Struthio camelus: one gene and its partners. The protein of the gene in region 1 purifies or fractionates together with the protein of each later gene. This does not show direct contact. Links are inferred from orthologs where the notes say so. Each region holds a gene or a part of one and is shown in the gene's direction. Other genes may lie near its edges.

Evidence for each region. Proteins that work in one complex are often made in the same cells at the same time.
Region 2: the proteins of RMND5A (region 1) and MKLN1 purify together in Homo sapiens (affinity purification with mass spectrometry; 4 studies listed by BioGRID and IntAct, counting the BioPlex papers as one, with this or other methods). This does not show direct contact. The link is inferred for Struthio camelus from reciprocal best matches to the Homo sapiens genes RMND5A and MKLN1.
Region 3: the proteins of RMND5A (region 1) and GID4 purify together in Homo sapiens (affinity purification with mass spectrometry; 4 studies listed by BioGRID and IntAct, counting the BioPlex papers as one, with this or other methods). This does not show direct contact. The link is inferred for Struthio camelus from reciprocal best matches to the Homo sapiens genes RMND5A and GID4.

The regions. Positions count from the first base shown.
Region 1 is NC_090945.1:80,788,597-80,796,452, forward strand, and holds the start of RMND5A (E3 ubiquitin-protein transferase RMND5A), read left to right. Parts: upstream 1-4,823; 5' UTR 4,824-4,963; coding exon 4,964-5,105; exon of another isoform or gene 5,106-5,776; intron 5,777-7,856.
Region 2 is NC_090942.1:4,288,691-4,295,705, reverse strand, and holds the start of MKLN1 (muskelin), read left to right. Parts: upstream 1-3,998; 5' UTR 3,999-4,090; coding exon 4,091-4,182; intron 4,183-7,015. UniProt on the Homo sapiens protein: Component of the CTLH E3 ubiquitin-protein ligase complex that selectively accepts ubiquitin from UBE2H and mediates ubiquitination and subsequent proteasomal degradation of the transcription factor HBP1.
Region 3 is NC_090956.1:3,742,840-3,750,513, reverse strand, and holds the start of GID4 (glucose-induced degradation protein 4 homolog), read left to right. Parts: upstream 1-4,657; 5' UTR 4,658-4,687; coding exon 4,688-4,912; intron 4,913-7,250; coding exon 7,251-7,310; intron 7,311-7,674. Other genes in the region: ATPAF2 (ATP synthase mitochondrial F1 complex assembly factor 2), read right to left, coding at 334-431, 1,282-1,427, 1,706-1,750, 4,065-4,191.

The DNA.
Region 1 (7,856 bases):
AATTCCGCACCAGGGTATAAAAATCACATTTTTAAAAGATAACATTAAAATTGACCTGGAGAGAGAAAGCATTTACATAGCCAAACTCCTCAGAACTGTTAAACACATTTATAGGGTGGTATGATTTAAAGAAAAGGAAAAAAAAAAAAAGGCAAAATGTCAACAGTTCTAGAAGAGGAATAAGAACTCTATCCTTTCCCTTTGTCTTTCCGTGCCCTAACCTATCCAGCCTAAGATTTGGGCAGAGTGGGATGCAGGTTCAGCCTGCCTGGTATTGCACGTTCGTGCACAGCCGTTGCCTCTTCAAGAGGAAAATTCGGGACGCTATTTTCTTCTGCAACGGACCCAGTGCAGTTTGTTTTCTGGAAAGTGGAAGAGGAGAGAGATTGTAGAAGCAGCTGCCCACCAACCAAGCCCTTGGGGGCGTGTAAATTTTGTGCCTCATATCAGGAGCTATCTCAACCCTTATTCTCCATACCTTTTTTATGTGGTGCAGTAAAAATTAAAGGCGGAGAGGGTGGACTGCAAAACCCAGCTCTGCTGATGCTGCTTAATTAAATGCAAACTGATTTCATCAGTTCACTCTGATTTGAAGCGAGCCTCTTGTGGGAAGTGCAGCGTGAGGACAACGTACTGGAGGAACAGTCGACAGGAAGAGCTTGTGGGAGGACAGGGCTGAAGCGCTGCCTCCTCCTTCATAGTACATTAAAGCTGCATAAGCTCCCTCTTCAACGGAGTAAGTGGCCATCTCCCTAATATGAAAGCGGCCACCTCACTAGGATTAATCCTTTCCCCTTGGCCAAAACAAAACTGAGAACGGTTTTGTTCTTACTGTTCGAAGAGCCAAAGTACTTTCAATAAAAAGCACACTCAACATCACCTGTCGCTAGGACCAAAGGAAGGCTCTCAAGTATTGAAAACACACCAAGAAAACCACATTTTTCTTCTCTTCTAAAAGCTTCATGAAGACCCCTTTCTTCTGTGACACACACAAGAAGCTGCCTGATTTCTGTACTTTTTGTTTCAAGTGAGCAGCTCAAGAATAAGTGGAGTGCTGGGTGGGAGGAAGATACGGAGTTAAATGTTTGCAGAGAAACTTTGTGTGTTGAGTTAAAAAAGAAAAAAAGCATTTTGTTTTTAACACGAGAAGCTGTAGACCCTTCTCCACCCAATCACTTTGTTGTATCCCCTCCTTCCCCTTATTGCTTCAGGCTGTGTGCTGTGCTTAGTGATAGTCTGGCTTCCTCCAGCTGGAAAGCACCTAGCAACAATTAATAGTCTACACTCACAGCAAAATTATTTGCAACACCAACTGCTGGGGAGGCTGTCACCAATATGTCATTTCCTAATGCTCATGGGCTGAGTTAAATCAGTTCCTAACATTCCCCAGTGGTAAGTGATGATGAGTCCCCTGCAGATACTAAGCTAATCATCTGCCAAAACTCAAAACCCTGGAGTAACTTCAAGAAAGTAAAAAGTATGTTTCAAACCACTGTTCAAAAGCCCCCCAAACAACCAAAAGCAAAGCAGCTATGAACACAGAGGCAAAGGGGCAACAGAAAGCAATGATGAATAGGGGCACAGCCGCAAATGGAAAGCATACTGGGCACTGGTATGACCAGGAACTGGCCACTGCAGGTGAGTTAACCAAAAGCCTGGAAGAGAAAAGGATTATTGCTAGGAAAGCTGAGCAGCAGACCTGGGGCCTCTGTGCTAAAACACTGGTGCCTAGGAGACTTTCCCACAGCACTGAGGGCTCTGCTCAAACAAACCAGAAAATGTTGACATATTAACAGAGGCTTGGATTTTCTTCCTCGGACTCATATTTGAGTACAGTGAGAAAGACCTCCTAAAACAATTCTCCTCTCCCAGACTCTCTCATCCTCTTTTTTCTCCCCACCTTCGCATCCCTGACTTATTAAACTGACCCCACCTGAACTGGCCATGATGTTCTAGACGCAACCGGCATTTCTTGGTTTCTAGCTGGAACTCCGAATGTCTTTGACGTGTCAGCTGCAAACACGTTTTCAGGGATTTTAATTATCTGGAAATGCAGAGAACAGTGAATTGAAAACTCATTTGGGCTGAAGGCAAACAAGAAAGATGCTGACATTTTTAAAGACCCCAGTGTTAACTCAACCTAATTAACGATATTAAACAGCCATCAGACAGTCAGTCCGATGCTCATAGAGCAGTCTTACAAACGTGAAGAGAATGAAGTATGTAAGTCCTACCCTTAAACATAAACCTGAAGCAGGGATTTGCTTTTAAACAATCTTGGCAGCAAAAATATTTTACTATGATTTACCAGAGAACGAGACCAAATCCTGAGAAATGGGACAACCATCTTTTCTTGTCAGAGGGCCAAATTTGAAGCCTCAGCTGCCCCTTGATAAATGGCAAGGATTCCCTCTCCTCCCCCATCCTTCCTGACGGGCAGTTGCTGACTCCGCAGCCTGGAAATACAGGCAATAATCCACTTCCTAGACTCAGTCTTATACAGGGAACACTGAAAGAAGGGCTGTCATTTTGAAGTCCATAACATTGAAACTGAAAATTGTAAGTCAGTCCCTTACCAAGTTAAATCCCTTGCCAAGTTAAATACTATCATACCCTCTTCTTGCACGGTTTTAATATTGACATACAACAAGATAAATTTGAGCAAACTAACATTTAGACTATCTGAAACCAGTTTTCCTAAGAGTCAGCCTGCTCTGTAAGTGTAATTGTTAGGAGCTCACTCACATACTATCCCTTGATGTACTTTTTCTACAATATAGGTGCATTGCCACAAATTGTATACATTATATGACACCCTGCCTACTTGTCATTAACTGATATTATTCAAAACAGCCAGTAAGTGCGTGTGAGAGTCTCAAAGCAAAATGGCAGCAGCCAAATAACACTATTTTATTACATGTGGAGAAACTGTAAGGTGTTTCCTATTATCTACAAGTGGCCAAAAGGACACAGATTTAACACGTAGATGTTATTTTGCAGCATGATGGCCAAGATTTGACAGCTCAACTAAAGCACTAGCTATTTAAATGAGGCACTCCTTACATGATCTAGTAATGAATCATAGAATAATTCAGGATGGAAGGGATGCCAGGAGGTCACGCAGTCCAGCCGCCTGCTCAAAAAGCAGGGCCAGCTATGTCACCAGACCAGGTTGCTCAAAGCTTTATCTAGTCAAGCATTTTATTAGTTGTAGCTGAGAGTCACTCTTCCCCGTCCCGTGGCAAGTTCCCTTGCCTTCAAATACGCAGTAGTCAATGTCACAGAAACTGAACACGTATCAAGGCCAAACCAATATACAGGAGCAAAATGGATTAATTAAATCTTGAAATAAAGGATCATTTTTTTTGAAGCAGGTAATATTTTCTTTTTTCTAACAGTGAGAATCCATTTACTGCTCCCTGCAAAAGACATAGGTTTTGTTTAATGACAAAAAAAAAAAAAGTGAACTTGCTTGCCTATGCTAACAGAAGACAAAGGAGAATACAGTGGTGAAGAACGTAACAAATCAAACCAGCATGCTAATGACATAAAACCCAAGATGATATTTGCATGGCTTTAAACATCACATATGGTTACATAAAGAATAAGACTACAAACAAGGGCAGCAGTCTTGGTCTGAATCCAACAGAATGACAGCCACTTGTAGGCATCTACACAAATCACGTGCTCTTGCAAGAGAATACAGATTTCTCTATTTTCTTATCCTATTTCAGCAGTACTTTACACGGGCACAGACGACACAACATCACTCCAGGCTCAGACCAAGTGCTGTTTTTGCAGGTAGTTTTGTCTAGTTGAGCAGGAGGTTTTGATGTACTGCGCTACAGAAACCGTGGGGCCACGGTCTGGTTTGTGCTACACTTTCCAAACACTGAAGTTGCCACAAGTACGCCAACCAAGCGATACTCAAGCAAACAGGGGCATGCATCTCTTTCAACCGCGCTCATCAGTCGGCTGCAGGACTTTAACCCACGAGACTCAACACTCAAGAGGAAGTTTGCTGGCCAAGCTAGTGCCCTAATGACAGCCTAAATCCTCCGTTTCCGGCCCGCCAGGATTGTTAATGAAGCACTGACCCCGCTCCAAGCCTCTCGGCGGTACGTAGCAGTGCAAGGCTGGGGGCGGTGGGGAAGGGCCTTGCCCCCGGCCCCCGCGGAGCTCCGCTCCCGCCGCGACGGGCTGCTGCCCGGCGATTTTCACCTCAGCACGGGGGCTAAGTTACACCTAAGGGACCAGCCCCAGCCGGCGGCGCCCCACGGCGCAGGAGACCCCTCGGCCCCCTCCGCCACGGCCCGAGGAGCCGCCGGTGCGGCCCGGTCTGGGCCGCACATCAGGGCCCCGCGGGCCGCGCCTGTCACCATGGCAACGGCACCCGCAGGACCCCGCTCTTAGCTGCCTACCTTACTGCCTGAGTCGTAACACGGCACTTTGAGGACCCCCCTCGCCCTAGACTGTTATTCTCAGCGCCCGCCCCGCGGGCTGCCTAAGGGGGGAGCCTAGAGGCCCGCGCTGCTGAGGCCTCCGCCGGCTCGAGAGGGGCAACTCACTCCCCCCATCGCGGCGGGGGGCGAGGCCCTTCCGGGGCTGTCCGCGGCGTTGCCTGACCAACACTCACCGCCCCGCCCTTGGCGGCCCGCCGGGAGGCCCCCGGGCTGCCCGTTGCTCTGCCTGCGCCGAGCGCCGCCGAGGCCCCCGGGCTGCCCGCGGCGCTGCCTGCGCGACGGCCGCCGCCGCCGCCGTCACCGGAGAGGAGCGGGAAGTTGCGAGCGCGGCGGGAGGCGAGCGGGGCCCTTCCGCGGGCCGGGCGGTGCTGCCGGAGGGCGGCGAGGGCCGGGCAGGATCGGGGGGCAGTGGGGGGGGGAACCAGCGGCGGCGGAGTGGGGCCCGGTGCCCGGCGGCGGCGGCGGCGGAGGAGCGGGGCCCGGCGGCGGCGGCGGCCGCTATGGACCAGTGCGTGACGGTGGAGCGGGAGCTGGAGAAGGTGCTGCAGAAGTTCTCGGGCTACGGGCAGCTCTGCGAGCGCAGCCTGGAGGAGCTCATCCAGTACGCGGGCGGGCTGCGCCGCGAGATCCTGCAGAGCGAGAGTAGGTGCAGACCCCCCCCCCCCGCCTCCTCCCCGGTCCCCCCGCCGCACCGGGCCCGTCCCGTCCCCCCCGCTCCCTTCACCGGGCCGGGAAACGCCAGCGGCGAAACTTCACCGCGGGCCGGCGGCGAGCGGCCTGGTGCGGCGGCCCCGAGGGGGTCCCGGCCGCTGTGCGGGGCCTGAGCAGCCCCCCCCCCCCCCGGTGTCCCACTCTTTCTTTCTTTTATCTATTTATTTATCTTTAAGGGTGACACTTTTGGGGTGTGTGTGTGGTGGGGGGAAGTTGTAGCAGGAGCAGGGCCTTGCCTGTCCTTGCTGCTTGAGGCATCTCCTGCCCCTTCCTGCTGAGCGGCGACGGGGCCAGCACGGATGGACGGACAGACGGATGGATGGCAGCGTTGTGCTGGCTGTCCTTGTTTTCCTCGTCGTTACTTCCGCAGCCGCTCCGTTGTTTGCTTTAGTCGTGGCTAGCTTGGGGAGCGCTCAGGGCGAAGCCGCTCTGGAGCTGAGCGTAAGCGCAGCCTCCCAAGTTTTGGCCGTGCAGGTTTTTTTTTGTTTTTTTTTGGTTTTTTTTTTTTTTTTTACGGCTAGTGCTGGCGGGTGAGTGAGCTCTCTGAGGCGTGAGCTTTAAACACGGGGCCGCTTCAGCTTTGCCAAATGCCCCGGACAGAGGTAACGCAGCGTTTCTCGACGGAGCGGGAGGGAACGGGGAGGCAGCCCGAGCGGTTTACCCCAGGCTGTGTAGGAAGCGAGCCACGGCTCGGGGATTTTAAACTGGAACTCCCGGGCTCCTAAGCCCAAACCTGACAGCAAACTGTGCCGCTTCACCGGTTTCTGCGATCTGCTTTTGTTCAGTTCGGAGAAAACTGTGTTTGTCTTAGTCCTGTAGAAATACAGGTGCGAAGCTTGCTTGGAAGTGCACTTAATTCCAGGAACGTAGCAACAAATATATTAGAGCTGCTGTGTGTACCCAGCAATTTACACCAACAGTAAATGTGGAGTGCCAGTTCTGAGGCGTTTTGGGAGGGGATGAAGGAACACTTAATCTTTTTGGGGCATTATTTGATTTGACTTGATTTTACTATTTTTTCTATCCAACACAGTTTAGGTTTGTGCATTAAGGACAGTCGATAGGATGTGTGTCTTCACACACCGAGGTGCTGCCCTTGCCTGGAAGGATGTGTGGCGTGGCCCTCATGCTTGCACTGATCTTCACAGGCCTCTGTGGTGCTGCAAAGATTTGCCCACAAGAATCCTGTTGCAGATCCAGAGCTTACACTCTCCATAAAAAAATGAAAAGTGCGCAGTCCCTCCGGGGTGCTCCCTGTGTCTTCCCTGCAGACTTGGGTTAACAGTTTTGGGGACTGTTTCGTGAAGGCCCCAGACATGTTTTCGGTGCTTATGAAATCAGTGGTGATGCCATCCCAGGAGAATGCATGCCAACTGGAGCTTTGTTTTAGTCAGTACTCTACAATGAAACTAATGTGTTACGTGTACGCCCATTTAGAGACCCTATTAACTTTTGCCATCTGAGGGTAAGCTGTCTTCACGGATGGCAAAATTCTTATTTTTTCTTTAACATGTTATTTAAAACTTTCTAATAAAACCAGATATTTGCAGCTATTATATGCTATATCCTGAATATTTTAGAAAATGAGCAGAAGTGGAAGCAGCCAGGCCTCTTAATGTGAAGCTTCATAGTTCAGGGGTCAGAAGTGCTAAAATATGCTTATGTATATAATTAAAAAAAAAAAAAGAAAAACCGTACTACTGAAGAAGAAAATCATGTTGTAGGACAAGAGGTGAGAGCAAGGTTGTATGTAAAGACCTTTAAATAGGCAGTGGATATGAAAAGGAAGTGGGTGGAGAAAAAGAAACTGTTAGAAGCTGCTTCATCCTCTAAACACTGATTTTCTTTTCCCCACTCATAGTCTCTTGAAATTTCTTGAGTTGTTTCTATAACAAAGTCTAAATGCAAAATACTCCTATGTTAAAGCGACTGATTAGGAAGAGAAACTTTGTTTTTCTGCTCTCTTTCCCTAATATATTTAATCTCCCTGAGTAGTCAAGGCAATATTGTTTATTCTTCTTGGATGGTATAAACATGTGTCTGGCTGACTAAGCTTGGCTTTGAACTCTACTCTGTGCCTAGCGTCCGATTGCTAATGTATTTTCTTTTAGATTATGACTGTGATGCACAATGCAGTGAGAAGCTAATTGTTCTGTAGTATTCTGCGAACACTGAATTACTAAAAAGACTATTCACAGGCTTTCTTCTGCTGATTTATTACAAATAACTTCTGAGTGTAAAGCTGAAAGAGATATGTACAAGGGGAAAATCTTTTCTCTTAGGAATCTGATAGCTTTTCTTGTGGACATTTTCATTGTTTTGCTGTAGTTAGTTTCTGCTACAGCAAGTTTTAGGGGAGAATAATCCACTTACTTGTTTGCCAAAAATACCTATGCATTTAAGTTGCCTAGATTTGACTGGACATACGCTGGATTTTGGCTTAATGGCTTTTCAAGCAAAAAATGACTACCAAGAGAATCTATTTGGACATCTCTGTTTATTGGGCAATACAGACTAGTGGAATGAGTGTTTGGATTTTTTGTTGTGTAATCTCTCGTTATTTTGTCTTGGCAGAAGTCATAATTTCTGGCCAGACAGTTCTTTACAATCATTTATGTGATTTTTAAATGTCTGTCATAATAAAATAGTAACAAAGAGATAGTGGTTATTCTTGAAATAATT
Region 2 (7,015 bases), on another chromosome or scaffold:
AACAAGGGGCGTTTACACAATGACAAGCCACTTGAGGTTTTTGCCTGACTTCACGGCTGAGCAACGAGACCCCAAATGTTACAGCTCTGCCTAATGTCCTTGGCTCTGTCCTGCTCTGGAAGGAAATATGCGGTGGCCTGCGCTGCCAACGCTATTTCCTCCAGCTTGTCTTTAAAGGTCTCTTTTCCAACAGCTGATCCGCTCTGCAGCTCCGGAGAGTACGTGAGATCCGGCTGGCCCACGGTCTAGCTGGTATGGCTGCGTGCCATGTTGTTGTTTGTGTTGCTTTCATTTTTTTGGCGTTGCTTGGCTCTTCCACGCAACTTGTTTTCATCCTGAACTATGCGCTCATTACATACCCAAACGCCCACGCAGGTTTGTGCAGGAGGAAACTCAAAACACACGCAGCAGTGGAGCGAGTCTGTGACGGCAGGCAAAATGTCTGTCTCCAGGCAGCCACAAACAACTGTCAAATCCCCGAGCTGTCCGCGGTCGGGTTTCAAGGTTTTCGACGACGAGCGTGATGTTGGCATTCGCACCCGTTTGCGCATTGTCCTGGCCAAGCAACGCGGACGACATCTCTTGGGGTCGCCCTGGCCTCTCCTGGCAACTCCAGCTACCGCCCCAGGCACCGTCCAGCCCCTCCAAACGCCGCAGGGACCTGTTGTTGCTGCTAGAAGAGATCTCACTTCCCCTCCAGAGCCAGAAATAGGCCTCCTCTGTAGGCTGGTTGCTTCATAACTGCCCTCTTTGGGGTTTCTCATGAGCTTCTCCAAAGCCACGTGTCTGAGCTGTGGCCAGAGGCGGTGCAGGGCAGCGGCGGTGCCACTGGACCCATCAGGTCCCATGGATGCGGCGTTGTCTTGGCACAACGTGGCCATGGACTAGGAGAGCGGGTCCAAGTAATCATGTTTTCCGAGTCCCTCTTACGCCACCGCGATCGAGCGCTGGCAGCCTCCCAGAGCAGGATGTGGCGAGCTCAGCTGGAGGCCGGTGGGCTGGCCAAGGATGTGTCACTCTGGCCCTCGGCACGCTGTGCTCCTCCCGCCGCGCAAAGCCTGCTCGGAGAGCTGCGGTGCTCTCCCCGTTCCCACCAGCCGGACAGACCGATCCCCAAAACCGGGAGAACAGGTCTGCCAGTGCGGTTTGCAGCCTCTTCGCTTCCTGCCCCAATCCTGTGCTCTGGAGGAGTAAAGATTTTCCAGAACTGTCACTGCAGTGGATTTCACTGGCGTTCGATTCCTTTCGTCAAAAACGTGCTAAAAATAAGCTGGCTCAGGGAGTAGGTTACTGCGTCCTGCCTGGCCAGGTCTTGAGGGGAGCAGTAACGGGATCCTGGGCAAAGTGGCTCCCGGGGGCGTTTTACCCTCACGTCGAGCCGTGAGCTTGTCTGCTGCTGCATGCCAGCAGCCCCTCCGCCACGCTCCCTCCTCGGGTGCGGGGCCCTCGCCTGCCGTTTGCTCCTAGTTCCGCAAGTTGCGTACGCAGAGGTCACAGGTTTGATTTCGGCATCGCCGAGAGCTCTTCTCGGCTCCCAGTTATGACATAGCATCTCTTATTCTGGAGCGGGTAATATCTTATTAGCGACATCCTTCATAAACTATTACCTCTGCAGTAGCCGGGGGTGGGGGGAAAAGAAAAAATTAAAAAAAAAGTCCTCAAGCAGAAGTCTCGATGAGTGAAATCTTAAACGCCACAGGAAGGCTGCAAACTTGCACACTCGTTACCAGAATGACTGAAGAAGTTTGTACTCGGTGCACGGCCACTGTTGCGCTGTCCTAGAGCTGCGCTGATACTAAGGAAAACGCTGCGTCCCCGCTCAGGGAACGGGTCTCGTCAAGGCATGGAGACCTTTTGAACGATGCAGTTGATGTTCAGCCGTCAACGCCGCTGAGCGAATTTTTCATCCGCAGCCAGGTTTCGTTGCTGTGTTCCAACTGTCTCTCCTAAAATAAGAGGAGGAGGGGGAAAAATCCTTGTGTTAATTTAATCTACTCAGGCATCTTTCTGTCCTGCCTGATAATAACTCTCCAATCTGTCATTTCCAACTGACATCTGTTTGTTTGCTTTTTTATCTTTATCTTGAAATACCTCCTTTCCTGAGCAGCCCAGAGGCGTCGCAGCGATGTCCCAAACCTTCCCCTTCCCTCTTAACCTCGCCGTCGGTGAAACCATCTCCCTTCTGCGGCTCCCTTAAAAAAAGAAAAATAAAGAAATAATTTAAAATGCAGAAAAAAACTTTAACAAGTCCTCCTGGAGACACCTGTCAAGGAATACCCACTTTACCAGCCGGGATGGCTCTGCAGGGGCGGGCAGAGCTCTCCGCCAAGTTATTAAATCAGATGATGCAGGAGGCATGAGAAACAGGCGGTGTTTTTTCCCATGGCAAGGCCCTGCAGGCCACTGCTTCGTGCAGGCAAGCTGCGGTACAGACTGGGGGAAAAAAAGCCCAGAAACAAGGAAAAAAATCCTTCTGACTGATTTTAGCTCCCGACGCTCCATTTCCAATCGCTTGCAAATGGGACAATTGGTAAAACAAGTGACTCCGTCCACGCACCAGTGAATCCGCTGCAAAGACAAAAACAACCACCCTGCAAACGCGTGCCTGCAGTGAATGAAAAGGCGGTGAAAACACGGAGGATGATTTGCCGCTAGTTTGTTCCACAAAACCATTTGGGATGCTCCGTCGTTCGTGTCGTCGGACGTGCAAGAAAGGTTACTTTAATCGATTTTACATCATTGTTCGAACTTTAATTCTACTTATTATTAACTTTTTATCTATTTACTGTCATGTATATTTAATTGCTTTAATCCATCTTTGGAAAAAATGAAACCCCAGCATTTTAACATGGCGTAATAAGTGTCGAAACAAGTTTCTTCCTTTTGGTGCTTCTTCTGCAGTAGAAAAAGTTACAGTCAAACATTTAGCTAATAAAACGGAGCAGGGGAGAACGACTAAGCTGACTTACGATACATATCAGCTAGAGAGCCAGCGCGCCATAAAATCCCGCCCCGGTTTTATTCGACCCCTTTCCCCGCTACGTACCAGCGGCTTCGGTCTGACGGGCCGGGCTCTAATTTTAAGTTATTCTGGGATGGAAAAAGAAGACACCACGGCCTAATTAAATCCATGCAGCGGTGCTTTGACTGGCGGAGGAAAACAGACGACACGCAAGAGATGAGGGAGGAATCATTCCGTCCCCAAAAACATAGCGACAAGGGTAAAAAGGATGTCTTGCCGTTGCTCGGGCAACGCCGAGCCCAGCGCGGAGGAGAAGCGGACAGAAGGAAAAGAAACTTCTTCACCAGGGCGAAATGAGCCTCAAGGTGGGGAGGAAGCTCCGGGATCACCATAAATTGCTGTGAAAATCGCCAAAACCCCACGGCTGCCCTTAAAATTAGTCCTGCGGCACGTCTCCCACTGGTGACCCGTGGCCCCCACGGTGCCCCATAGTGTGGCCCCCACGTCTCCCACTGGCAGTCTATGGCTTAGGCACCCCACTGGTGACCCACGGCCCCCACTGTGCCCCACGGCGTGGCACCCATGGGGACCCCAAGGCCCAGGCACCCCACTAGTGACCCAGCTCCCCCATTACACCTCAGGGAGACCCCAGAGCCTATGCAAGGCCTGGAAGACCCCCACTGGGGACACCACACCCCACTCGTGACCCACAGCCCTCACGGCCCCCAATGCACCGCGTGGCCTGCCACCCGTGGGGACACCACTCCCCATACACCCCACTCACGACCTCGGCCTGCGTGGCCCCCCCTGAATGCCCCATACCCCACTCACGACCGCGGCCCGCGTGGCCCCCCTGGCGCCCCCCAACCTGCATGTCCCCGAGTGGCCCCACTCCCGCCTCGTGACCGATAGCCCGCGTGGCCTCCATGGCACCCGCGGCCTAGGTGGCCCCCCAGAGCGGCCCACGCCGCCCACTCGCGCCGGCGCGGCCCCCTCACGGCCGCGGCCTAGACGCCGCCTGGCGCGGCCCGGCCCCGCCCCGGCCGCGCGGCCCCTTTAAGCGCGCGGGCCCCGCCCCGCCCCTGGCGGCCGCTGCCGGGCGCCGCGGCGGCCGCTGCCGACAACAAGATGGCGGCGGCAGGGCCGGCGGGCCCCGAGAGCCGTGTGCTGGGCTACACCCTGCACCGCTGGAGCAGCTTCTCCTCCACCTACCTGCCCGAGTGAGTGCCGCCGGCCGACCCCCCTGCCCCCCCCTTCCCTCCTGTCACCCCCCCGCGCCCCGCCGGCCTGCGCGGCGAGGGCGGCGCTGCGGCAGCGGCCGGGCCGCTGTGGCCGCCGCGGGGGGGGGGCTGCGGGGCGGCGCGGGCTCCTGGCCGTGGGGAGGGGGAAGGGCGGTGGGTGGAGGAGGGGGGGAGCGGGTCCGGGGGGAGCAGGGGGTGGGGGAGGGGGCCCCCGGCGGGGGGGGGCTCAGCGAGTGGGGGATGGGCGGGTGAGGGGGTTTGGGGAGGAGGGGCGAGTGTGGGGGGGGTCGGCGAGTGGGGGAGGGGTGGGAGAGGTCTGGGGGAGGGGCGAGTGTGTGGGGGGGGCAGCGAGTGGGGGAGGGGCGAGTCTGGGGGCTGCGAATGGGGGAGGGGCGGATGAGGGAGGGGTCTGGGGGGCGAGTCGGGGGGGGTCAGCGAGTGGGGGAGGGGCGGGTGAGAGGGGTCTGGGATGGGGGAGGGGCGAGTCTGGGGGGTTTGGGATGGGGGAGGGGCGAGTCTGGGGGGGTCAGTGAGTGGGGGAGGGGTCTGAGGGGACGGGTGAGTCTGAGGGGGGTCAGCGAGTGGGGGGAGGGGCATGTGAGAGGGGTCAGTAAGTGGGGGAGGGGCGAGTCGGGGGGGTCAGCGAGTGGGGGAGGGGCATGTGAGGGGTCAGTAAGTGGGGGAGGGGCGAGTCGGGGGGGTCAGCGAGTGGGGGAGGGGCATGTGAGGGGTCAGTAAGTGGGGGAGGGGCGAGTCGGGGGGTCAGCGAGTGGGGGGGCATGTGAGGGGGTCAGTGAGTGGGGGAGGGGCGAGTCGGGGGGTCAGCGAGTGGGGGAGGGGCGAGTCTGGGAGGGGTCTGCGAGTGGGGGAGGTGTGGGTGAGCAGATGTGGGGGGGACAGCAGGTCTGGGGGGGCAGGCCATGGGGGGAGGGGCGGACCATCGATGTTAATTAGATAAGGCAGCCTGTGGGGTAGGGGCTGACAAGCAGGTTTTGGGGGGGGCGGAGGGCCTATCCCTCGCTTGTGGGAGGGGGTCCGTTTTGTATGGCCTGCGAGCGGGGTGGGAGGGGGTGGCCCCCCCCCCCCAGGTGTGGGGCGGGCAGGGTGCGTGGCAGGGGAGGGCTCATGCTCCGCCGGAGTCCCATCCCGGGATCCCGTGTCGCCGTGGGTGTGAGGCAGTCTCCTTTCGACTTGCTGATATTAAAATTGGGGATGGCCGGGGTACAATCTAGAGGTGTGCTTGTCGGCGTGTTGTCCTCCGCGCTGGAGAGCAGGAGCGGGGTTAAAAATACACTCTTGGGACACTTTGGTCGTTGCAGGCTGCCGCAGAGCTTTGGCTCCCGATTGCATTGAAATTTATAACCTTCGATTGGGGCTAGAGGACTTAAAGACACCTTTCAACAAGACACCTTTCTCACTTTTGATTATATTTTGATTAATTTCATGAATTATCTCTGTAATCTAAAAGGAAGTTCGTTGCCAAAAGCTTTTCTGGCTACAACTTTAGTCGTTGCATCTCTTTATACCTTTGCTGGGTTAAGTATGGAGAAGACTTGGACCTCTTTTCTCATTGTTAGCCTTTGGTGAGAACTAAGTCATCACTCTGCCTTTTCCTTCTTGAAAAGACTTAACTTGCACAGAAAGGCATTTCTTTCAGGACTGGGATCGTTCTTGTAGTTTTTCAGCAGTGTCTCTGGCTTCCAGCATTGTATTAAAACTTGGTCCCTGAATGGGAGGGCGACAGTCCATTATTGATCTTCCTGATGCAATATAAAAAGATAAAAGTGTCTTTCTCCTTGATACTCCTTTCCAAGGTTCCCGTTAGTCCTTTTGCCACAGATTTGTGAGGAATTAATGCCGACATGGTATCTGCAGTGCTGCCCAAAGACCTTAATGTCATTGCCTTCCATGATACAATTCCCTTTTCTGTAATATGGTTGGTGTTTTACAAGTGTATGACCTTGCGTGTGACTGTTTTTAAGACAGTGTTTAGAAGAGCTTATCACCAATAGAAATAACTGGAACAAGTTTTAAGCTGTGTTCAATAATTCCAGCTGTGGGGTTATTGTGTAGCATACTGACCTTCATCCAGGGGGTGTCGTTTCTAATATTTATGTGCTTTCTTCTGGCCTGTAGTGAAAATATTGGATAATGTCATGAGGAGAGTGCCCCTTATGAAACTTTGTTTTTTTGCTTGATGTCTGCTAATTTTGCCTCTCTCGTATTCTGGGAGAGAACTTAAATGCCACCTGAAATGGAGGGGGAAGGTTCTGACCTGGGACTTAAGATTAGATTCTCAAAAGGAGAAAAAAAATTGTAGAGAAAACATACAGGGGGAAAATAGAGGAGGGAGTGCTGATGGAAATCCGTGCTGCAGGATGACTATACAGCTGCAGCTAGAAGTTTTCTTGGTCTTTAATACACAGATGAAAAGTTATGCTTTTGTGAAGGGGGACTAGGAATTCTGGTTACACCATAGTTTAAATAAGTTTGTTTACAAGCCTAAGTAGGAAGAAACCACTTCCACGAAAGGGACTTCTGCCATAATATGTGCAGGAATACACTACTGCTATGATGATATCGCTTGTCATTGGGAGCATGCTTACTACTGCTGCACTGTTGCTAGCAAAATGTGTTTTGGAAGAGGAACAAAATAGCTTACCCGTGTTCCGCGTAAGCTAAGTGCAATTTAAACACACTTCTTAAATACTTATATAGCTTTAAATGTAAAACAAAGCTATGAAATAAAAATTTTTCCTCTGTGCTCTTTAGGGGATCTGCATATCTGAAACCTGCTGCTGACCCATGTGTT
Region 3 (7,674 bases), on another chromosome or scaffold:
TTTTCCCATGGAAAACTTCATTTCTTGCTGCTTCTGCCCCTGCCCAGCATGGAGGTGCCCAAAACAGAGATCAACAGAATGCCTGGTCCCTTTTCTCCCTCATACCTGTACCCTTTAAGTTCGTGGAGATCCACCAGGTTTGCAAAGGTAGGGCTGGCCTCAACTAATTCAAACCCTTGGGCCAAAACCAGGACAGGTGAGAGCCCTGCAAGGACTCAGTTACAGTAGACATTTCCCTCCTGTCATATTTGAATCCTCCAGGCACCTTTCCTAAACCACACTGCAATAAGATAGCCCAGCCTCTCCAGTAGAGGGTCCCTGACGGTCTCCTACCAGACAGTGTCAGTCTCCAGGAACTTCACAGCTGCACAGATCAGCTGTACTTTGTTTCGCTGAGTAGGATTGTCCAAAGCTGTGTTGCACAATGTGGTCTGTAGGATAAAAGCAATACAAACCACTGTTATTCAAGGCATGGGGAAGCACTAGCTTCCATAGCACAAGGCTAAGCAGAAGTGGAGGAATTCAGGATAAGTTGAGGGAACTGAGGAGCTCAGCTAGAGGGGAATGCAGAGCCAGAGCTTGGCTCATGCAATAGGATTCTTCTCATTGGCCTCAGATGCTGCTGGGGCAGGCTCACCAAACCAAGAGCAGAGGGCTCCAAGACTGCTCCAGAGCTCATCCAGTCTCCTCCACCCCCTCCCCATGCCATCCCTTATAATGCTGCCCAGCCCCTTCTCAAACTCCTCCGTGAGGCAGATTCCCCTCCCTGGCAGTAACCCCGGCAGCATCTAACTGCCCACGGAGCTGCAAGGTTCTCCTCAGTGTACAACTAAGGTCCTGATCTCTTGTTCCCATTTCCTTTGGCATTAGGACAATCTGCTTCCTCCATGTTCTGCACTCGGAGACCATTCTCATATCTACACAGTCACTTCAGTTTTAGACCCAGCCATCTCAGTTCTACTGCAAATACTCAGAAAAGCTGTGGGAGGAAGGATGCAAAAGGAAACATTTTCAGGAGCTGCCCTCATCTTATTCGCTCCAGAGCACGGCTTACATCCCAAACTGGTTCTTAAACCTTGCCCTGGTATCCGTTCTGCCAGCTGGCGAAACCCTCAGCAGGTCCCAGCGGGCCTGGCTAACCCTTCTTCAGCCCCTAGCATTCCGAGTCCCTCCCGTGAATCCCACATTCCTTGTTCTGACTGCTCCAAGCACACCTCGTTCTGCTCCTCTGAGGTGCTGCAGCGGTGCAGCCATCTGGGCACCCCGGCCTGCTGTGCTCACCAGGTGCATAGTGTAGAACTTGATGGTGTCCTTCTGGGAGTCCCACTCTGTTGCCACTGCAATAGCCAAGGCCTCGCTGGGAACAGTGAAGAGCTTCGCCTGGGGCGTTTTCAGCTTCCGGTGGTCCAGGTTTATTTCAAAGCCTCCTGGAGAATCAGAGTAGAAATCCTGGGGAATTAAAGAGGAGCATGCCCTAAGGAACAACAGACAACCCCACAGAGGGAGCAGATTCAGAGCTGGAATCCAGCCACATGGTTTAGCTAGAAATGAGGAAAGGACAAAGCAGGCTGGTGACAAATATCCCACTCATATGACACGGGTTGCAGGTGTGCCACTGTCTTGCTAAGGAAGCAGTGATAACCCCCTCCCCAGGGACCAACACCTCCTCCCAGTCCTTCCTTCCTCTCCCAGTGGCCACGCTTACCTTCTCCTTGCGAGATGCTAACGTTCTGGTAAAACCGCTTCCTTTCTGGGGGCAAAAACAAGAGCCATTCAAAGGGCAGTCAGAGCAAAGTTCAGTCCCCTCCCCTGATTCCCACTACAGCTTAAAACAGATGGAGCCCTCGGTGGTGTCGAGGCCCAGATGGCCTGGCCTCTTGTCACAAGGTCTCGCTCGTTCATCCACACCCTGAGCCTGGGGGCCTGCAGGGAGCCTCTCGCCAGAAGAGGACCAGGCAACCCCCTAGCCACTGCCTGTGCCCAGGCAAAAGAGCCTCTCCCCAGTCTAGTTCTGCACATGGTGGGGGGAGGGGGGGAGAAGTCCTGGCCTCAAGAGTTTTGTTGGGGGAAGGAGGGAGGGAGAAAAATATGGCACTGCCATAGACTGCACTCTGAAGTGTTTTTTGCAGACAGCTTCCAAGCACCACATCATTTCAGTGAGCTCCTCTCCACTGGGGAAGCATCATGAAACCGGTGGGAGTGTTGCTGTGCACAACCAGCAAGTGAATGGGCCCAGCTTTTCTTTGCTTCTGCCACCCAGGGCTGGGATCTCAGCTCCATTCCAACTCACCCTCAGCAGGTTTCTACAGAGTCTGGCAGGGGAGGTTTCTAAAGCGGACCTATCTTGTCATTCCTCCCCAGTCCATATGGAGTTTCACTCTGGGCTCAGTCTTTCAAAATTCCCTGATTACAATCATGTTTGACAAATTAATTTCCTGGACTGCCTTGGCTAACTCCCTCTCCCAGCTTGTTCCAATTCAGAGTGACAAGAAACCCAGCAGAACTGAATCACAAGGCAGGGCAGGCCCCAGCAGTGTCCCTTGCCACCCCTGCCAACTCCAAACCCACACAGTTCCAGCCCACGCAATCTCCTGCAGTGAATTTAGCTCATTCTCTGCTTTGACCCGCCACCTGCAGCTGATGCACCACATGGAGGGATGCGGCTGTCTGCATCAGCAAAAACTACAGCTCCCAGCACGCTCAGAGAGCATGGGGCAAGATACTGCACCCCACCGGGGGTTTTGGCACAGCTCCCTCTACCACGGTCACCCACAGGAGTGGGTTTGTTACAGGAGCTACATGCAATCAGCAGTCCCCATCTCTCACCTTGGATGACATCCTGCAGGAGAGTAGCCTGCAATGTCATAGCAGCTGGATCATGCTGGGGACATCATGCACATTGCAGCATACAAATGAGTCACCAGGGGAGGAACCACTCCCTCGGCTCCCTCCAGCCTACGCATCCCACGCTGGCAGCTCCTGCTCTGCTCAGGAGAAAGCCTGCTCTACCAGCAAGGTGAATCTGAGGGAATTACAACTGTTTTACAAGCAGCCTCCTTTCGTAGCAATACTGTTGCGTACACTCCCAGCAGACATCTGAGAGCCTGGACTGCATGGGAATGGATGTTTCACAGGTTCATCTCTCACTCAAAGCAGGAAGAATCTGCAAACCATTCCCCGGACAAGAGCAACAGGACCATAAATCCTGAATCCCTAAATCTATACCTCCTGAACAGTAATGCAAACAGGTTGAGCTGCAGGTCTGTTTTCTGTGCCACTCCATACGAGCACGTTCCCACACCTCTACAGAGCACCAGTGAAACAGAAGAGGATCTGCTCAGGCTGACCCAACTCTAGTTTCATGGCCTCAAAAAATGCCAAATTATTAGGGCACAGTTTTGAAAAGATTCACATACACGTACCGAAGAGAAGACATTTCACTGAGATGCCAAAGAGCCCCAGGATATATGTCCTGAAAACCTGCAGCCTCCTCTCATAGGCAACAAAACTAATGTTACCGTCCTCATATCTACACCTTTCCAGCAAGACCTGCAGAGGTGACTCACAGCCCAATGTGTGCCTGAACCACACCTGGAGTGCTCCCCCCCCCCCCCCAACAAAGTCTTAACACCCACCAAAACCACAATAGCAACCATAACAAACCAATACACCAAGGGCTTAGCCCTGCTGTCAGTGACAGCCCTGCTGAAGCCAGGGCATAGGAGCAGGGGGAGGCCCGGCGTGTGGGGCCCTGTCACCTCAGCACCTAAAAAGGCTTAAGGAGCCCCAGACCCGGCGAGGGGTGTGCTTGAACGCTCGTTAGCCTCCTCGCGGAGAGTTTTATCGCTTTCCATCTGTTTGACTCGTCCTGCTGGCGAGGGCTCCGGGGTGACCTTGAGGGAAGTCGCCCTCCAGGGCCCGGGGAGGGGGGGGGAAGGGGGTCCCATCGGGAGGACCCCCTCCCCCCCGCAGCGGAGGAGGGAACGGGCTCTCCCAAACAGAGGGGCCCGCCAGACCCCCCAAGAGGGAGCCCCGAAGCCCCCGAGGGGCCCGTCCGCCCTCACCTGCCGGCGGGGCGTAGGCCCGGCCCCCGCCCGGCCCCACCGCAGCCCCACCGGCGGCAGGAGGCGGGCCGGGGCGCCGGGCCGGCGAGCAGCGCCCGGGCAGCAGCCGCCGGCAGCCGCGCCACATCGCGGCGAGAGGAGGCGGGAGGCACTCAACGGCCGTGCGGCGCTCGCCGGGAACCGCGGAGCAGTCGCCGCCGCTGTCGCCACCGTCCGCCTCAGCGCGGCTCCGCGGGCGCCGCCATGCTGCCCGCCGCGGGAGCCAATCCGCACCGCGAACGCGTTTTGCCCCTTCGGCCGCCCCGTCCTGCGGGGAGACGGCGGAGGGAGGGAGGAAAACTACACTTCCCAGGAGCGCCCGCGGCCGCGCCTGCTGGGAGAGGGGCACGTGCCCCGCGCCGGCGGCCAATAGCGGCTCGGCGCCGCCCCTCCCGCAGCACCCGCGAGGGCCAATGGGAGCGCGCGGAGGCGCTGCCGGGAGGCCCTGAGCCAGGCAGGAGCGGCGGCCTCGGCGGCGGCGGCGCAGCGTGAGGGGCGGGCGGGAGGAGGGGGGGGGGCGACCGGGCCGGCGCCCCCGGCCGCGCGCAGCCCCGGCCACGCTGGCGCCCGGGGACCCGCCCGAGATGCCGGTGCGGAGCGAGCGGTGCCGCGCGGGCGGGGCAGCGGCGGCGGCGGCGGGTTCGGCCTCGTCGCCGTCGTCCGGGGCGGCCGCCAGCAGCCTGGTGCCGCCGCCCCCCATCAACACGGCGCAGCCCGGCGTGGCCACCTCGCTGCTCTACAGCGGCGCCAAGTTCCGCGGGCAGCAGCGCAGCAAGGGTAACGCCTACGAGGTGGAGGTGGTCATGCAGGTGAGGGGCCGGCCGGCCTCCCTTCCCCTGCCCCGGGCCTGGCCGGGCCTGCGAGCGGCCCCCAACCGCCGGGGGACCCCGTCCCTCCGGCCCGGGGCCGCCTCCCTGCTCCCTTCCCCCTCGGGCCCCGGCGAGGGGCCGCTACCCTCAGGCCTGGCCTCCTGCTTTGCCCCGTTGCGCTCAGCTCGGGCTCCCCTCGCCTCCCCCCTTTTGTCCCATTACCCTCAGGCCTGTTTCTCCTCTCTCCCCCCCTCTTTGGCCCTGTTACCCTCAGGCCTGTTTCTTCCCCCCCTCCCCCTTTTTGCCCTGTTACCCTCAGGGCCTGTTTCTTCTCCCTCCCCCTCTTTGGCCCTGTTACCCTCAGGGCCTGTTTCTTCTCCCCTCCCCCTCTTTGGCCCTGTTACCCTCAGGCCTGTTTCTTCCCCCCCTCCCCCTTTTTGCCCTGTTACCCTCAGGCCTGTTTCTTCTGCTCCACCTCCCACCACTGTGGCCTCATTTTCCTTGGGTCTGTTCGCTTCACTCCCTTGCCCTATTGCCCTCAGCTCTGCTGAGGTCTGTGATCCTGGATGTCTCCCCCATTGCCCTCAAGCCCTGGGCTGGCCCTGCTCCCCTGGGCCCCAGGGAGGATAGGCAAAAGGCTGGCTTAAAGTGGGTGGTGTCCCAAGGAGTCAATACCAGCGAGGCAGCCTGTATTTCAGGCCTGGCTGGAAAGCAGTAGGGATCCAGGTCCTGGCTAGCAGAGCAGGGCTCTGCTGGACCTGAGATCCCAAGGATCCCTCCTTGTGGTGCCCTATGCTTCCCCAGGATCCCAGGCTGAGCAGGGAGCCTGAGGCAAAGCACAGTGGTTTGTTTCTAGTGGGAACGTGCCTGGACCCAGGTGTGCTGGGGAATCAGGGCACTGGCTGGTATAGCTTTCCCTTTCCTTTTTGCGGTCTTGGTCTCCTCCTGTGCTTTAATTTTAGTCCTAGACATTGGTATGATTGCTTAAGGTAGAGCTGGCGAGGTGTGGGGTTACTAATAAATAGGCAAGCCAGACATATGGTGCACGCTTTCCTATAAAGTGCTCTGCAGGTCACGGCTTTGTTCCCAACTTGGTGGCATAGGATCTGTGGGACCCTGGCAGCTTGTAACAAGTGCAGTGATAAAGACTGATGCATGGGTCAGTGTTGTGGAGTAACGTGAGAGTCCCAAGGTCAACAGATGGGGTAGCATTTTATCCATACTGTCTCTTTTCACATATGGTCCCCCGCTTGTCAACAGCACAAGTGTCCCTGGTGCAGCTTGCTCTTGTAGAGACATCCCATGGCTGATCAGCTTCACTGCACGCTGCCTTGTTCCAGAGACTGGCTATAGCTTTGTGCTAAAATTGCTACTGTTTTGCGCGTGTCAGCTGAGAAGAGGTGGCTATCTGCTCTTCCCCTGCTGAGTACAGGAAAATGTTGCTTCTCTTTGATCACAGGTGGGGAAGATCCATCTTCTTATAGCTGATGTATACACTTCCCAAAATAGCTCAGTTCTTGCTTTGAAAACTCATCTGGAGATGTTGGGGGGGAAAAACTTGGAAAGTCTTCTTACTTTAAAGGCATTCAGAATAGAAGCAGCCCCCTACCTAGTTTCTGCATAGCAGAAGAGGCAAGATGCAGCCAAGTAACTCAAAGAAGGGTGACATGAAAGCGTTAGATCTGGGAGAAGGGCCTCTTCAAAACACACGAGACATCTGTTTTGAACAGGCTTTGGTGTGTGACGGGGCACACCAGTCCTGGGTACTAGGCTGAGCGTACAGACTAGCGTGTTAGAGAGGAGGTGGCTCAGGCCTGTTAAATAGGTGGACTGGAAAGTTCAGGGTGATGCTTTCTTCCTCTAGCCTGAATTGTCTTGGGTAAAAATATGCTTTTTGCCCTTCCCCCTCTTGGTTGCTGGTTTGGCTGGGGTAGGTGAGGGCTGGGTGTGTTAGAGATTCTGCCAGTGATACTCTCTCCCTTTGAGAAAACTGGGAGTCAAGTTCCTTCTTGGTAGAGAAGGGGGATTTACTCCCTCTGGAGACCTCCAGACAGAAGATGCTGCCTCAGTTTGAAGAAGCTGAAAGTGGGTGAGGTGTCGTCAGGCCTGGGACGTGGAGGCTGTCAGAAGTGAGCTGGGCACTTCTAAAAGGATCTGTCCAAGTTGTTTCCAGCCTTGGGAAAGGGGATGTCAGTGTGAACATTGTGCAGTAAGCTGGACAGTCAGTACCAGTTTAAGCAGAATTGAGTGTTGGAGGACCACAGGTTTAGAAACTGTTTTGGATCCATTGGGTGCCTTCATGCACATGCTTATGTTAGGACTTTGCACTCTCTTCTAGCATGTGGATATGGAAAACTCCTATCTCTGTGGATACTTGAAGATTAAAGGCCTTACAGAGGTGAGTGTTTATTGCAAAACCATAAGAAAAGGTGTTGTTTAAAGGCTTTCCTTTTTCCTGGTAGGGGGAGAAGTTGCCACCAGAAATAGAGGATGGAGGGATCAAGTATACGGTAAATTTGACCACTAGGTAGTCTAATAGCTTCAATCTGTTGTTCTTGGAGTGTAAAGCTAGTATCAGGGGCCTCGCTGGGAGTCCTGAGAGAATGCAGGAGGCTTATCTGGTGTCTCTTGAGCTCTGAGTGGAACAGGAATCTGACCTTGAAGTCAGCTTTAGATACTCTACCAGTGGTGGTGTGTTGCTAAAAGAAAATAAAACAAACAAGTCAGATCTTTAAGTCCTTCCTTCCATGCCCATCCACTAA